Saccharomyces cerevisiae S288C: one gene and its partners. The protein of the gene in region 2 binds, or shares a complex with, the protein of the main gene of each other region. Each region holds a gene or a part of one and is shown on either strand. Other genes may lie near its edges.

Region 1 (6,539 bases), on a different chromosome or scaffold from region 2:
GTCCTGTTCTTGCATTTTTTTCAATTCTTTTTTCAACTTTCTTTTCTCTTTTTTAGAAAGGGCTTGGCTTTGATATTCTTCAGTATCTGCAGCAACTTCCTTCTTAACATCGGCCTTCTTTTCTTTCTTCTCAAGCTTTTTCAAATTAGAAGCTGTAACGATAGTTGGTTCTTCTTTCTTCAATTCTTGGGATTTCTTTTTCTTTAGGTCATTTTCAAGCTTTTCAGCTTTTTCAATTTCCTTTTGATGCGAAAGCAACTCCTTCAACTTGAAACCTTTAGCCATTCTCTATATACCGTTGTTCAACTAACTGTGCTTTGTTACCGTTTAACTTTTTAACAGCGTAAAATTCTATAAAGCTCATCTCATCTGTATTTAGGCAGAAATAAAAAATTTTCAGTCCCGATGAGTAGTTATATCACTAAATACGAAGTCATATGTAAATTCTGCTGAATAAAAATATTGTGGACATATTGCTTAATTCTTATGCGCCAAGATTTTCACGGTACTAAGCCATTTTCTCTTAATTGAGCGTATAATTCAGCGCTTATATACTTTTCAAGCGTAGGACCATCATTTGACATAAATCCACCTGTAGAAATACCCTTCCGCCTTCTTGTTTTCATCACGAAATCACGACTTAAACTGTTGATAGGTGCGGGTTTCAATTTTGGAATAAACGCATCTTTATCCAAAACATCACCAGGAACCTTCCTCCATATCTTGTGCCAAAAGTACAGCTGACACATACCAAGACCATTCGTAGATAATCTCAAATCTGTCTCGAATCCTGCAGATTCAATAACCGGAACTTGTCCACGAACCTCCAACAATGGTGTCCCTGCCACTTTTATTGTTTTGTATATCCTGCTTCCACGTCTCTTCTTCATAAGTTCCTCTACTATTGGCAGCAAGGGGGCGTGGACCGTGATGTCAACTTCATAGATGGGTTCCAATAAAATTGGGATTGCTGTCAGTAAGCCAACGTAACAGGCTTTTTTCATTAGCGGAATAATTTGACTTTTCATAACGTCAATGTTTACGTCGGAAGGTACTGAGATCGATAACAATTTATACTGTACACCATAAATTGGTTCTTCTGCCAAAGGCCCCTCTTTTACAGCCCAGTAAAATCCTTGTATTATTTGTTCCTTATATTTGGATAATAATTCAGGACTGATTTCATCTGGCAAAGTGTCATTAATCAACACGTTGCCATTATAAAAAGACCAAACGTTTCTTGATGCCAACGAATCCCACCCATACTCGGTTCTCAATATTTTGGATAGTTTCCTTGGGTTGTCCATTATTCCGTCAATATCCAAGCAGTTTTGACCCTTTCCCAATGTGTTCCTGCTCAAATCCTGAATCATTTTAGAGTCCATTGGTTCAGCGGCTACACTAATCGACAGACCTGGTAAATTTTCCTCACCAAGGCGAGATATCGAATTACTTACAGGTATTGAAGCGAACGATTCATTTGAGCAACTTTCAGAAAAAACAGTTAAAGGATCAGATATTTTAATTTCTATCTTTGCATAACTCGCTCTTAGATCATACAACAAACAGTCCATATACAGCTCTCCATTTCCTAGTATTACATGTTCTCCAGATTCCTCAACTTTAATAATAACGCCTGGGTAGTATTTCGAAATTTTGTTCAGGGCATCCAATAACTTGGGTAATTCCCTTGGCAGTAAAGGTTGAAGAACAATTTTGAAAACTGCCTCGGTAATATAATCTAAAGGTTTGAAAAATTTTAGCTGTTTCATGTCCTCCTTACTCTTTACAGAGTACAACGTCGCGGATTTAATATATGCACTTGAAATACCTTTTATTAATACTATCTGTCCTTTGTGTGCTTCATGAACCGGATAGACATATCTGCCACCTAATAAGCCAATTTCTTCGACCTCACATGAAGGCGTTTCGTCATCTTCATCTTCATCTTCGTTGGAGGTTTCCGTCTTTGAGATATCATGCAACTGTCTTTTTTGGCGAGATTCAGATTGTGATGTATCAAGTATACGTACTGTATCCCCTCTCTTCAAAAGTCCAGAGTATATCCGTACAAGGGACCACTCTGCTCCACCGTAATCCACAGTTTTCAGTACATGAGCCCAAAGAGTGCCTTCTGGTGTAGATTTTCCTGGAATTGAAAGATGAGCTGTCTTATTGTCGAATAATTCAAATGGTTGATAACATCTGGTTATCGCATCTACAAGACCGGTTTGTTGCCTAAATATTAACTGTAGAACGTGTTTTAAAAAAGGTTGCGGATCGTACTGGAGGGCCTCTTGACTTAAATTAACTCTAAAGTTAGACCTTAACAAATTCTTTAATTTATCTTTCTCCATAGATAAAGCGTAGGAAAATATTTTATAAAGCGGGATGAGGATAAATTCAACGAAAGTCGGGTACTTCTCTACATTTTCAAATGGTTTTGTCCTGAAATTACCTTTATGGTAATATACGCTACCCCATAGCCTTGTGGTAAAGTCGTCTATCTTAGAAGAAGGTATGGAGTGGGCGTAATAATAAGAAACAAATTCCTTGATAGTGAATGTGAAGCCCAGCTTTGTAGACGCAAATATTATGTTATTGTCTATTGGTGAAAACACGTTTCCCTTCGTAAAGGAATTGATATTTGCAATTATATGATTTAACTTCAAGTATGCGTCCATTGGTGGCAACTTTAAATCTAGAATCAATCTGTCGAGTTTATTTATAACAAAACACATTGCTACATTATTTTTAATACTTTGTTTTATCAATTGCTCTACCACAAATGTAACACCTTCTACAACATCTATCACGATTAAAACCAAATCACTTGCTGCAAGTGCGACTGCCGTTTCATCCATAAAATTAACATGCCCTGGTGCATCCAAAAAGTTTATCATTCTAGACTTGGATTCTAAATCGGTGCAGAGTAGAGTGGAACCATTAAGTTTAATGGAAAGACCCCGGTCAATCTCTTGTTTCAAATTATCCAGGTATCTTAGCGGTTTCCATCCAAGTTCTACATTCTTAGACATATCTGGTATGCGTTTGTGTGAGTCGATTACTAGGAGATCCATCAAAGAGGTCTTACCTGAGTGAAGAGGTCCAATGACACCAACATTTATTATCCTCTCCGGAATGTTAGCCATTGATAACATATAGTCTCGATTATATCTAGTCTTCGGAATGTTTTTTTTTAATTGTGTAAAAATTGTATGCTCTTGCAACTTTGTTCGTTCTGTAACCGGCTCTACCAGTGGAGTCTGTGGTGACTGTGTGTTCTTAGTTTCCATTAATACTTCCACTTCCTTACCATAAGGGTGCTCTAAGGAAATTCCAAGTTCCTTTTTACTTCCTAACGAGGTAAGTTGTCTGCTCTCAATCTCATTGTTGTTGCCGCTCCCCTCAAACGTATTGGTTTGATATTGTTCTTGCTCATCCAGCACACTTTCTTCTTCATCCGAGTCAAAAGGATCAACTCCGATCAAATTTCCAAACTCATCGAATAAATCGTCACCTTCCATTTTGCTATGTTAGGAGCTATTGTGTATCGCTTCTGTAAAAGCAGCTAGCAATCGTCAGCCGTTGGCAAGTAATGCCCCAAAGCCTTGTTTTCTGCCACTTTGAAATTTTTCAGGCCTTTCCGGCATTAAAATTTCCGCAATGAGGCTTTAACAATCATTAATCATCCCATAAGGATAAGCCAAAAGAACAGATCATCAATTTGACGAAGAACATACCAGTCCGTGTATTTGTTTGCCATTGTACAATAAAATAAATAAAAATAAGTCAAATAAATGAAAAATGCCAGAGTATACGCTACTGGCTGATAATATAAGGGAGAATATCGTTCATTTCGATCCGAATGGTTTGTTTGATAACTTGCACACCATTGTTCATGAAGATGACAGTCAAGAGAACGAGGAGGCCGAGCATTTCAATTATGATCAGGTGTTGGATAAATCGTTATTGTCAAGAGGTTCTATTGTCGGTCTCGGTTTAGGACTAATGAGTCCCGTTTTAGGAATGTGCACTAGTATGGCCATTGGGCTAATTAATGGTGGTCCGTTAACTATAATGCTAGGTTTTTTAATCAGTGGAGTGTGTATATGGTTTTCGTCGCTTTCTCTTGGTGAGATTGTTTCAAAATTTCCGATGGAACTGCATGTTGGGAGTGCCATGTTGGCCCCGGAGAAATTGAAATTAGTATGTTCGTGGTACACTGGCTGGTTAATGCTCATAGGGAATTGGACTATGAGTACCAGTATTACTTTTGCAGGCGCTCAACTTACCATTTCTTTGATTCTGATGACGAACTCCAACCTAATATCCGAGGCACACTTGATTTTTTACACAGTCATTGTATTTTACTTAGTTGTGACTGTTGTAGGCCTCGTGAATTTGAAATTTGCAAGATTTATTGAAACAATAAACAAAGTCTGTGTTTATTGGATCATATATGCCATTATATTTATTGATATTCTTCTACTAGTATTCCACAAAGGTAAATTTCGATCTTTGAAGTACGCGCTATTTCACTTTGATAATAATCTATCAGGGTATAAAAGCGCATTTCTTTCCTTCATCATTGGATTCCAACAGTCTAATTTCACGTTACAAGGTTTCAGTATGTTACCTGCTTTAGCTGACGAAGTCAAAGTTCCTGAGAAGGATATTCCACGTGGTATGTCGAATGCGGTATTGTTATCCGCGTTCTCTGGAGTCATTTTTCTTATACCAATAATGTTAATCCTGCCAGATAATGATTTGCTTTTTACCAATCATAAGGTTCTACCAATAGTGAACATTTTTACAAAATCGACTGATTCGGTGGTCTTGTCTTTTTTTTTAGTGCTCCTAATTTTAGGAAACTTACTGTTTTCCGGAATTGGCTCGATTACTACATCTTCTCGTGCGGTATATAGTTTTAGTCGTGACCAGGCTATACCATACTACGATAAATGGACCTACGTCGAACCGGATTCTCAGTCAAAAGTCCCCAAGAATTCTGTTGTATTGAGTATGATAATATCATACTTTTTAGGTCTGCTAGCTTTGATTTCAACGGCCGCATTTAATGCTTTTATAGGCGCTGCAGTGCTCTGTCTTTGTTCTGCGACTTTCATTCCGTTAGTCTTGGTGCTGTTTACGAGAAGAAGAGCTATCCGAAGCGCGCCAGTAAAAATCAGGTATAAGTTTGGTTGGTTCATCAACATTGTTTCTATTGTGTGGCTCTTGTTATCTATGGTTTCTGTTTGCCTACCAACGCAAGTGCCTGTAACTTTCAAAACAATGAATTATGCTTTAATGGTGTACGTATTCTGCATTTTAGTTATCACTGGTCTTTATTTCAAATGGGGGAAGTATAATTTTAGATTACCCTTGGCAGATGACATCAAGGCTCCAATTCCCAGTGATGCGGAAGAAACTGTTTTTGAACTAGAGGATAGCAATGTTGAACATACTCTAAACTCGGGAACCACAGTGAAAGAGTCTGTAGAAAATAATTCTGAAGAAGGTTTCATCAAGGTGCATCCTAAAAGTAGTACAGAAAATCCCTTTGAGGAAAATGAGGAAAACGTGATAACCGATTATGGTGATGAGCACCATACAGCAGAACAAGAATTTGATCTTGCCGATGATCGTAGATATGATATATGATATATGATCGTGATTATACACCGTTATTTAATGGGAAAAGACTTATATAGAAAGAATATACGTAGTTTTAATTTATCAAGTGAAAAGGGCACTCGCTAGAATTAGCAAAACGCCAGTGCAGCACCATTTCAAGCAAGTTGTGCCTGAGCTATGGGACTGTTTCATTTCTTCATCACCTTCTCCTTGATGATGATGATGTCCATCGCTAAATCCGATACCAGTTTGGAACATTTGTAAACCAATTACTAATAGGAACCCTGCAGTAACGCTCAGTAAAAAATCCATGTTGGGTTCGTGATCCCTTGGAGTACTACCTTTAAAGATGAAATAACCTATCAATGCACCTAATGGTTGAGATCCACCACCGAGAACGGCAGTAATCAAAATGGCAACCCATTTAGATTCGAAAACAGTGTAGAATGGTAACGTCATTGCAAATCCTTCGACAAAATTATGGATCGTCAAACTTAAAAAAATGGAAAATCCCAAGGACTTTGACGAATCTGACCTGTTAGTGTAAAAAATAATAAACCCTTCGGGAAATTTGTGTAATGCAAGGACTAGACAAGTTTGCATACCAATAGACAGTAATTTGGAAAAAGGGGTCTCTAAGTGATGATGGTGGGGGTATAATGAACCATTTTCGGGATGGTATTGTGTGTCTGCCAATGCGGCCGGATTCTCAGTTACATCATTTCCCAAAGGTGACGAAAAAGAGTGCGACAACTGGTTGGAACCATAATTTTCGGGCGATTCAGAGGAATGATGATGGCGGCTCGAAAGAAAATTCTTACGGTACAACGATAGGTTTTCAAGATCGTAACCGATATTATTTTCCACGCATACAAGGCCACGATGATCCTTGTCATCGGATT
Region 2 (4,979 bases):
CAATTATGCTTCAATGAAGGCAGTTTCCACATTCAGTTTCTCGGATGAAAAGTATTTACATGCCGTTGTGAAGCCACTGTGGCCAGAACAAAACTCAATCTACTTATCACAGAGACCCTTTTATGGTAATAAGTTTGTTGTATGCTTAGGAGTTGGTGAAAAACGTACAAAATTCTGGCTGTTTGAAATTAGAAACAATAACATTACCCAATTGTACGCGAATTATCTCGAAGATTGTATATTCTCGGTGTTCATATACTATGAGTGCAACTTGGTTTTATTTTCTGGTGATAGTGGCATAGCAGCATATAAAATAAACATGCTAAAAGAGGGCGCGGAAATTTTAGAGGCCTATTCCTTCCCAGCACTTTCATCGATTAACCATATAGGTCTTCCAGCTTATATGAGTGGTGATTATCTGGTTCAATTTGAGATCTTGAGAGATTTTTTGAGAACCCGCTTTCCAATTAGGACGTCCATAGTATATCCATCAGAGTACCCTGAATGTCCCTACTTGGGTTTTAAGCGGTTGGGAAGCATTACACAAGTGGCGACTAAAATAATTCCTAAGAAGCTAAGAGAACCTAAAAACGATTGTTTAGCGAGTGATAAGAACTATCTATTAGGTCGATTATCAGACCTTTCTTGTGCAACGTTGAAATATTCCAATAGATCTTATGTTGCCACCATTGGTATTGATAATACCTTGACAATATACGAAGATTCTAAATTATCAGTTGATAAGGGCGGGTTGGCTATGCCATACCTCAAAATTCGGTTACCTAATAAGATAATCTCACTGGCGGCCATCCCAGATGGATTTCAAAACCTTCAAATATGTCCAAATTTCAATAGTCAAAGGTTGGAAGGCGTCATACCTCTATTTTTACTTTGCGGTACTGAGGGCCAAATTTATATAATATCGGAATTCATTGGTGAGCTGTGGATGAGAACGTTGCATGATTACAAAAAGATCAAGCTCGAATGTAAAAGAGCTTTTCGAAGGTCTGAGAAAAGCATGCGAAATGTTACTAAACAATATTCCGTGAGTAAAGAGACTGGAATAAATGAAAGCGGCTTTGATGAGCTAGCTAGAAATTCAAAGAGAAGACATATAGATCATTCACCATACAAGACCATAGATTTTTTCGATCCTGTAAAACTAAAAAGGTGACAATAAATCTCCTACGAACGAATAGGTGCCATGAGATCTTGCACCTTTTTGTTATGCCTAAATTACTACAGCTCAATTGATAATACATGTTTGTGCATTTACAGATGCACTCGAGTAGGTTATTCAATGAAGATATGACATATATCATACCACTAACAAAACAGCACTATTAGCGTCTGCACTAGTGGAAAGCAAAAAACTTTTTTATAGTATATAGATGGTACAAAAACTATGTTGATAGATATAATCCAATCTACTTAAATTAATAAAGTTTCAATCTTGTCCTTGACAGCGTAGATTTGGGTCTTGATAGCAGAAGCATCGTTGGTGGTAATAGAAGCAGCAATAACTGGTCTAGAAACACCACAAGCTCTACCTAAAGCAACTCTAGATGGAACAAAGACATATGGAACATTCTTGTCTTCACATAGTAATGGTAAATGCAATAGGATTTCAATAGGTTCACAGTCAGCAGCCATAATGATGAATTCGGAGATACCACGGTTCAAAGTTTTGGTAGCTTCGTTGGCACCTTTCTTCAATTGTCTCAAGTTAGCAGCCTGTTGAACGACATCCAAGATTTGTTGGGTTAATGCAGCATCGGCTAATGGGAAAGCCTTTGGGTTTGGGGCAGACATTTTTAATATAGTTTTTATAGTATGAAATCTGGTTTATTCAAGTTCCTTGCAATAATCAGTATGGTCCTGGTATAGAAAGCTCGCTCGAATGATGATTTAAATTAAGATTTGAAAGTAGGACTTGAACACTAAGAGGAATAAGCACTATTAACCAGAATAATCAGTTTTAAAGTGAAAAATTTTCTAACTCATCTCATTCCAGCATTAGAAAAAAAAATTTTCTGAGAAAAAGGAAAAATGAAAAGAAAAAGAAAATAGAAATGAAAAATTTTTCTATATGCTGAATTTATTACCCGGATAAAACCGATAAGAAAAAGAAACGATACAATTGTCTACTTTAACAATAGAAGTTGATAAGGTTGGGCCTCTTTTAAGAGTACAGGTATAGTGATCTCATCGTACCCATTGTGTAGCTTAAAACGCATAATGCTCTTTGTTGCTCCTTGATATTCAAATTTTCTATTTTATACACATTAAAAATTAAGATATACATATTTAGCGTGTAATACTCTTTTAAACAATAATAATGGTACTAATAAAAAGGAAGCTTGAAATGAGGTAGTTTGGATATGAAGTAAGAATAGGGGCTATAAACAATCTCTAAGATGAAAAATTTTGATAGTTTTCATAGTTTCTCACAAAAAGATTCTTTTGTATACTCTATTCCTGCTTTAGTGATTCAGAAGCTGCCTTAACAGACAACATCTTGAGTAGCCCTGGAGTTCAACAACAAAGCAACAATCAAACCGTATAGACCCAAAACTTCAGCAAAAATCAAAATCAAAATCATACCGACGAATAATCTTGGTTGTTGAGAGGAACCTCTAACACCTGCATCACCGACAATACCAATAGCGAAACCAGCAGCTAGACCACTCAAACCGACTGATAGACCGGCACCCAATTGGATGAAACCGGTGTACAAAGCTTGCTTTTGACCCAACGAATAACAAACCAAAACGGAAACAACTAAACCGTAAATGGCAATGATACCAGCCATAATAACAGGAACAATGTTCTTGAATAATAGGTCTGGTCTCAACACACAAGTGGCACAGATACCAACACCAGACTTAGCAGTACCGTAAGCAGCACCTAATGAGGTGAAGATAATTGCAGAGGCACAACCAATGGCACCAAAGAAAGGGGCGTAGACAGGACACAATTCAGTCATTATATGTATATGTTTCTTTTGTTATTCTAATTGATTAGTCTTTTTGAGAAAAGCAATAAACACGATCTTCTCTTTCTTTTAAAAAGATTTTTATAAACAAGTTTTTAATCAGAACGAGTGTATAATTGTACAAAACTATCAAGGGTCAGTCAATCACTTAACCACTTTTTCTGTTTTTTTTTTTTTTTTTTTTTTAATGCGTTTCTTTTCCGGGTAATATCCCTTTATACGATTCAAATTTTTAGCAATGGAATAGGCCGTAGACGGCCGTAGACGGCCTATTTCATTGCTGATAAAGAATTCAGTTCCTCTATCTTTCCTAAGTTGAATATTGTGCAATAATAAATTCATTATTAAAGAAGATGTACAATTAATAATAAATAATTGCTGGGTGAATTTGTAAAAAAAGAAAACTGTAATATAGAATATATAAAATAAGTTGATAGAAATACCTAACTAAAACAATAACAATTATTAATAATAACGCAGAAGTTAAAGCTTATAGTCTATAGCTTAAATGATTGCGATCTGTGTTATTGTTGCGGGCAAAAAGAAATGAAAAATTAGCGCCGCTCGGTTTCGATCCGAGGACATCAGGGTTATGAGCCCTGCGCGCTTCCACTGCGCCACGGCGCTTAGCCAACTTGAAAGAACTGGATGTTAACTTTATTTATTAACACAATAACAAATTCTTCTATCTCTATCTCTCCATGTCGCTTATATTGAGGTCCGCCAACATATCACTTAATCTGTTACTTGTAGTGGCATGTTTATAATTACTATTTCTTAGCTCATTTCAGGTATTTTGCGGTTAATTATAAAAGTAACCGCATGTGTTCCACAGTTGTTGTCAGTTGATACTATTTTAGGTGGTTTATGCTGTTTCAACCACGACAACTTCATCCTCTCACTGGACATTTTTGAACACTAATTGAAGTTTCCAATACCACTCGTCTTTTAGGCAAAGGTATTTTTCAAATATAGTTATGAAGGCGTATATGATGGCATTTGGCTCATTTGGGCAGTACGACATTTGTTCATTTCCGGTAGAATCAATACCTACGTGTTAGTTTACCTTCCGATGGTGATTTCTCCCATGGATATTGCAGGAGTAACAGTCGGTTATGATTCACTAACTAACAGTTATATTTTGCTGGGATATTATTATATACGGCGTTAGAAGACATGAAATGATGAGAAGCAGTCATTAAATTTAGTGGAAGCCGAAATGTAAGGATTGATAACGCAGTAGGATAATGAACAATAAAACATAAAATGAAAGGAGAAGTGACGCTTTTAGAGCAGTAAATTATAACGTAGAGGACGAAGAAATGTGTGCATGGTTATGTAGATTGTTGATTCTCTTTTGCGAACTCCTGTGACCTAGTGGAGAATTTTAGCAACTCTGTAGGCCTAATAATGTTGTCTTCAATCAAAATGGGACTTGACAATTACTCCAATATCCATCTAACCTATATCGTTATCCTGTCATCATCTATGATATCGCTAGACGTTAGTAGTAAATTGCTTTCTTTACTGCGCATCGTCGAGATATTTGCACCATTCATGCATACATCTTTGTGTATAAAAGATGTTAATCAGAATTATCATACATGTACATAACGTAATACCTGAGTACTTACTGAAACTCGACAATTGGATGTTGGAAGGCATTGAGTTCTTGCGTTGTTAGCCGTTTGTTGTTCCTAAAGTGAGGTAAGTCCGTATGGTTGACGGTGGCATCGCCAAGTTTTGCCATATAACTAATCCCGCTAGGAAAATAGTCGTATTTGTAATGAGTGAAGTAGAAACTATGCCCGTAGTTACGATAACAGTATGACACTGTCTTCGTCATAGCGGTAGTGTTAGCTTCCGTACGATTGCTAAATATGATAAAAGTTCCAACAGTATCTGTAGCCGCTATTTTGTTGCTTGGAAAACCAAGCACTTGTAAGTACTTTAACACATTACGAGCATCAGTTAGAGTGGTGTT
Region 3 (3,895 bases), on a different chromosome or scaffold from region 2:
ATAATTGGAGGCAGTAAAGCATTATAGTCATACACAATAATAATAATAATAATAATAATAATAATAATAATAATAGTAGTAGTAGTAATGGTAATAAAAAAGTTAGAAAAGAAATTAGATACAGATATTCGTAGTAAAGGCCACGCAGTACAAAAAAGACGGAGAATATATTATATAAAATCCTCTACTCTTTTCGTTCAGGTCCAAAGGAAAATTCTTGCACGCGCAATGGACTGAACAGGCCTTATATTATACAAAAAGCCTAATAACGATCAAATAAAACAAAAGAAAGCCGTTGCTCCTATGCCTGACCAGAGACGGCTACTTGTTGTAAGTGAGTCATGAAATTTTGTAAGGAAACATCATCTGTTAAGACAATTGTAGATCCTCCGCGCGCCATGTCTTGATAGTTATCGGAAGGATTCAATTTAGATAACAAGAATCTGGCTTGAGAACCACCGGCTTCAGTATCAATGAATCTTGGTAGCGGGAACCTATCTACTAACAATTCTGCGGCTTCTAATTTTGGCTCTTCAAGAAGAGCTTTGAAATCTGCGTACTGTGGATCGTCTTGGTAACCGGCTTTTCTCCATTGAGCGATTTGCTCACCGTGGTATATTAAGATGAAGAAAAATGTATCTAATAATAGAATGGTATTGGGTTTGACGGAGATAGAGTCTAATAATACCGGTTGTGGATCGTCCTCCATTGAGAAAGAAGTTAGAGTTGGTTGAATCATGATTAAAGAATTAGTCGTATCCTCTCTTGTGAAAATATGTCTATAAAATGCAGTTTCATCCGGAGAATTGTTAAAGACACTTAAGAATTGGGATCTTCTTAAATAATAGGTAAATTGAGGATACAGTGAGAAATTTGGAGCCAACCTGAAAGATTGAGGATCATCTTTATTATAGTCGGCGTACTTTTGACATAGCTTAATCAAAGTTCTGTCTAACCATCTAATAACATCTGCACCATCATCGGTTTCAGCCTTGTGAACAGCAATACGAGCCATCAAAACGGCAGCAGCTTCTTGATCGAAAGAAGCTGCAATGGCAGGAGTACCGAAGGGCAAAAGCTGGTTTGCGACCGTGGTGACTCTGATACGGTTGGTACCAGAGGAGTGTTGATAAGTAGTGATGAATTGAGTATATGCTAGATGAGGTCTATCTGCTGAACCAGGGGCAGACATCATTGGGTTAGAATTAGCCGCAGTGTTTGCAATTTCAAAGAAAATCGCATACGAGTGATAAGGCGATAAGGAAGCCATCTTCCAGGTGGACGTTGCACCTATACCGATTTCAGATTCACTGATGTTGTTAGCGTCTGTCTTCTTTACAGCAGAAGCATGCCCAATCAAACCTTGTACCTTCAAGTCTTTACTTGTCTTGACTGCCATATTACCATTGAAAGCCATCTTCAAATACCCTTCTTCATCCTTGGCAAACAATCTCAAGTATGATTGCTTAAAAATCGCGGTAGAGAAGGCATCGGTTAGCAACAACACACCTCCAGTAGAGTCGGTCAACTGTTTCATTTCAGACATACCGATTTGATCGTAACAACCGGCAAAAATATCAACAGTGTGTCCATTGGCGGCAACTCTTTGTGCAATCTGGTTGTAAAACTTACAGGCCTTCTTGTAATGTTGCGCGTGATCAGAATCGATGTCGTGGTGGGATCTTAAGGGATCTTTTAACTCTGAGTTAACAATCAAACCTGGGGCCACGGTGCCTGGACCGGAGGCGAAAAGAATGATTCTTGCTGGGATGTTCTTATAGCAGCCCTGTAAAAGCAAAGATGCAATGTTCAAAGCGGAACCTGTGGCCCTTAATGGCCTATGACCCGCTGGAACAGACCATTGGTCTGGAGACAGATTTTCCAGTAATTGATTCAGTTTGAACTCGACCTGTTCCAAGGGCAGGAAGAACCTATTCAAAGAGAAGGGCGTAACTTTGTTCATGGCGTTCGGTAGATGAGATGCAGCACCGCCGGGGCCGGTAGGCTTTTGGCCGGTCAACATTTCCGTCAACGCTTCGAGCTGGTACTCCCTGTCTCCTCTGAACACGTTGCACCTGTCAATAGTTTCGCTGGACAGATCGTGCAATTGAACAACGTTTCCGTAAGTGATCAACCCAATCAGCGCGTTGGGAGGTAATAGAGACAAAGAAGTGATGATAGACTCCTTTAGCGAATCGAGGTTCTCGGTTTCCGAAGTCAAATCCACAACAAAGAAGAAAATGGGAGGAACGGTAACGGGCTTATTGGTGATGTACTCAATGGTGGTGGACTGTAACTCTAGCGGCATATTCTCCTGTGACAAGTTGGTGTACTGTGGAGGTAAATGGTTCCTGGAGTTACAGATGGGACAACTCCAGGACGAATTGCGCGGATCAATCACACAGTAAGGATTTAGAATCGACTTACAGTGTGGACCGGAACACACAACTGGATTGTATGGGGCAACGTTCAATTCGTCATACTCCTTCAAAGGTGTGTACAAACAGCCCACAGGGACGACGTTGCTGTTAGCGTCGCTTCTAGTAGAGGGAAACACGTTCCAGGTGAAACGGACCCCGTTGATGTCTTCATTAGTCTCGAAGTCCATGGCTAGAAAAGAGGAAGGGGAGGCAGGCGACAGACAGATAAACACTGGCTTCAGTTAATTGTGTGTCTTGCTGAACGTGGAAAGATCACAACAAGTATCTTTTTTTCTTTTTTCAAACGTGTTTTTCTTTTATTCTTGCTAGAACTTTCCTCCTTTGTAACAAACGAGAGGCGGCGGGCTAGTCGTCGCAAGCGACAAATCTCAACTGACAGTAAATAACGGTGATAAAACAAAATTAGCGCAATCTCTCAAACTACTGAGGACAACCAACTTGAATTGCACTCTTCCAAGTTGTAGCATGGCTTGGGGGGTGTGTGATCCCATCCTGTATTATGGCAAAGCAGGCAAAACAACCGCTCTGCCGTCCGGGTAACTTTTCTTGTTCCACCTCTTTTCCCCAACATATATGAACATGAGATGGTAAGAGCAAGAAACAACGGTTCTATGAGCAACGCAAAAACAGCACAGCACACACAGCACCGCGTACTATACCACACCACACACTACGTCACAACACAACAAGACAATGAGCGAGAGCAGTGATATCAGCGCGATGCAGCCGGTGAACCCGAAGCCGTTCCTCAAAGGCCTGGTCAACCATCGTGTAGGCGTCAAGCTTAAGTTCAACAGCACCGAATATAGAGGTACGCTCGTGTCCACGGACAACTACTTTAACCTGCAGCTGAACGAAGCAGAAGAGTTTGTTGCGGGTGTCTCGCACGGCACCCTGGGCGAGATATTCATCCGCTGCAATAACGTGCTGTACATCAGGGAGCTGCCGAACTAAGACGACTGTGCTCATCTCCCTTACATACCAGTATATTTACATACGCCCTCTACTGTAATACAATATCATTCTATAGCACTCGCATCGCGTATTTTTTTTTTATTTTCTTGCTTTATATTGTTCTATTTTTCTTCCTTATTCCTGCCTCTGGATTTCCCTCGCATGACAAATAGCGTGGAAAAATAAAGGATTTCCAGTATTTGAAAAATTTTCAGTATTCTTACGTGTTCCTAACTCATATAGACCGCTATTGTAATAACGCTATCGCTTCAATTACACACAAACATACACGCACCCACAATGAGCATCGAATACTCTGTTATCGTTCCCGCTTACCATGAAAAGCTGAACATCAAACCCTTAACAACCAGATTGTTTGCCGGCATGAGCCCTGAAATGGCCAAGAAGACCGAGTTGATCTTTGTCGATGACAACTCACAGGATGGCTCCGTTGAGGAGGTGGACGCCCTAGCTCACCAAGGCTACAACGTCCGCATCAT

What was found. The genes of interacting proteins can lie anywhere in the genome.
Region 1: SNU13 (region 2) and SNU114 share a complex: the UniProt entries of both Saccharomyces cerevisiae proteins name them as parts of the U4/U6-U5 tri-snRNP complex.
Region 3: SNU13 (region 2) and SMX3 share a complex: the UniProt entries of both Saccharomyces cerevisiae proteins name them as parts of the U4/U6-U5 tri-snRNP complex.

Annotation. Positions count from the first base shown.
Region 1 is NC_001143.9:119,505-126,043, reverse strand, and holds SNU114 (U5 snRNP GTPase SNU114), read right to left. Parts: upstream 3,528-6,539; coding exon 501-3,527; downstream 1-500. Other genes in the region: EBP2 (Ebp2p), read right to left, coding at 1-285; TPO5 (Tpo5p), read left to right, coding at 3,808-5,664; Zn(2+) transporter ZRT3, read right to left, coding at 5,740-6,539. UniProt on the Saccharomyces cerevisiae protein: Component of the U5 snRNP complex required for pre-mRNA splicing. Binds GTP.
Region 2 is NC_001137.3:98,776-103,754, reverse strand, and holds SNU13 (RNA binding protein SNU13), read right to left. Parts: upstream 1,813-4,979; coding exon 1,432-1,812; downstream 1-1,431. Other genes in the region: YEL025C (uncharacterized protein), read left to right, coding at 1-1,174; VMA3 (H(+)-transporting V0 sector ATPase subunit c), read right to left, coding at 2,504-2,986; YEL028W (uncharacterized protein), read right to left, coding at 4,626-4,979. UniProt on the Saccharomyces cerevisiae protein: Common component of the spliceosome and rRNA processing machinery. In association with the spliceosomal U4/U6.U5 tri-snRNP particle, required for splicing of pre-mRNA.
Region 3 is NC_001148.4:897,060-900,954, forward strand, and holds SMX3 (mRNA splicing protein SMX3), read left to right. Parts: upstream 1-3,134; coding exon 3,135-3,395; downstream 3,396-3,895. Other genes in the region: GTPase-activating protein SEC23, read right to left, coding at 302-2,608; DPM1 (dolichyl-phosphate beta-D-mannosyltransferase), read left to right, coding at 3,696-3,895. UniProt on the Saccharomyces cerevisiae protein: Plays a role in pre-mRNA splicing as a core component of the spliceosomal U1, U2, U4 and U5 small nuclear ribonucleoproteins (snRNPs), the building blocks of the spliceosome.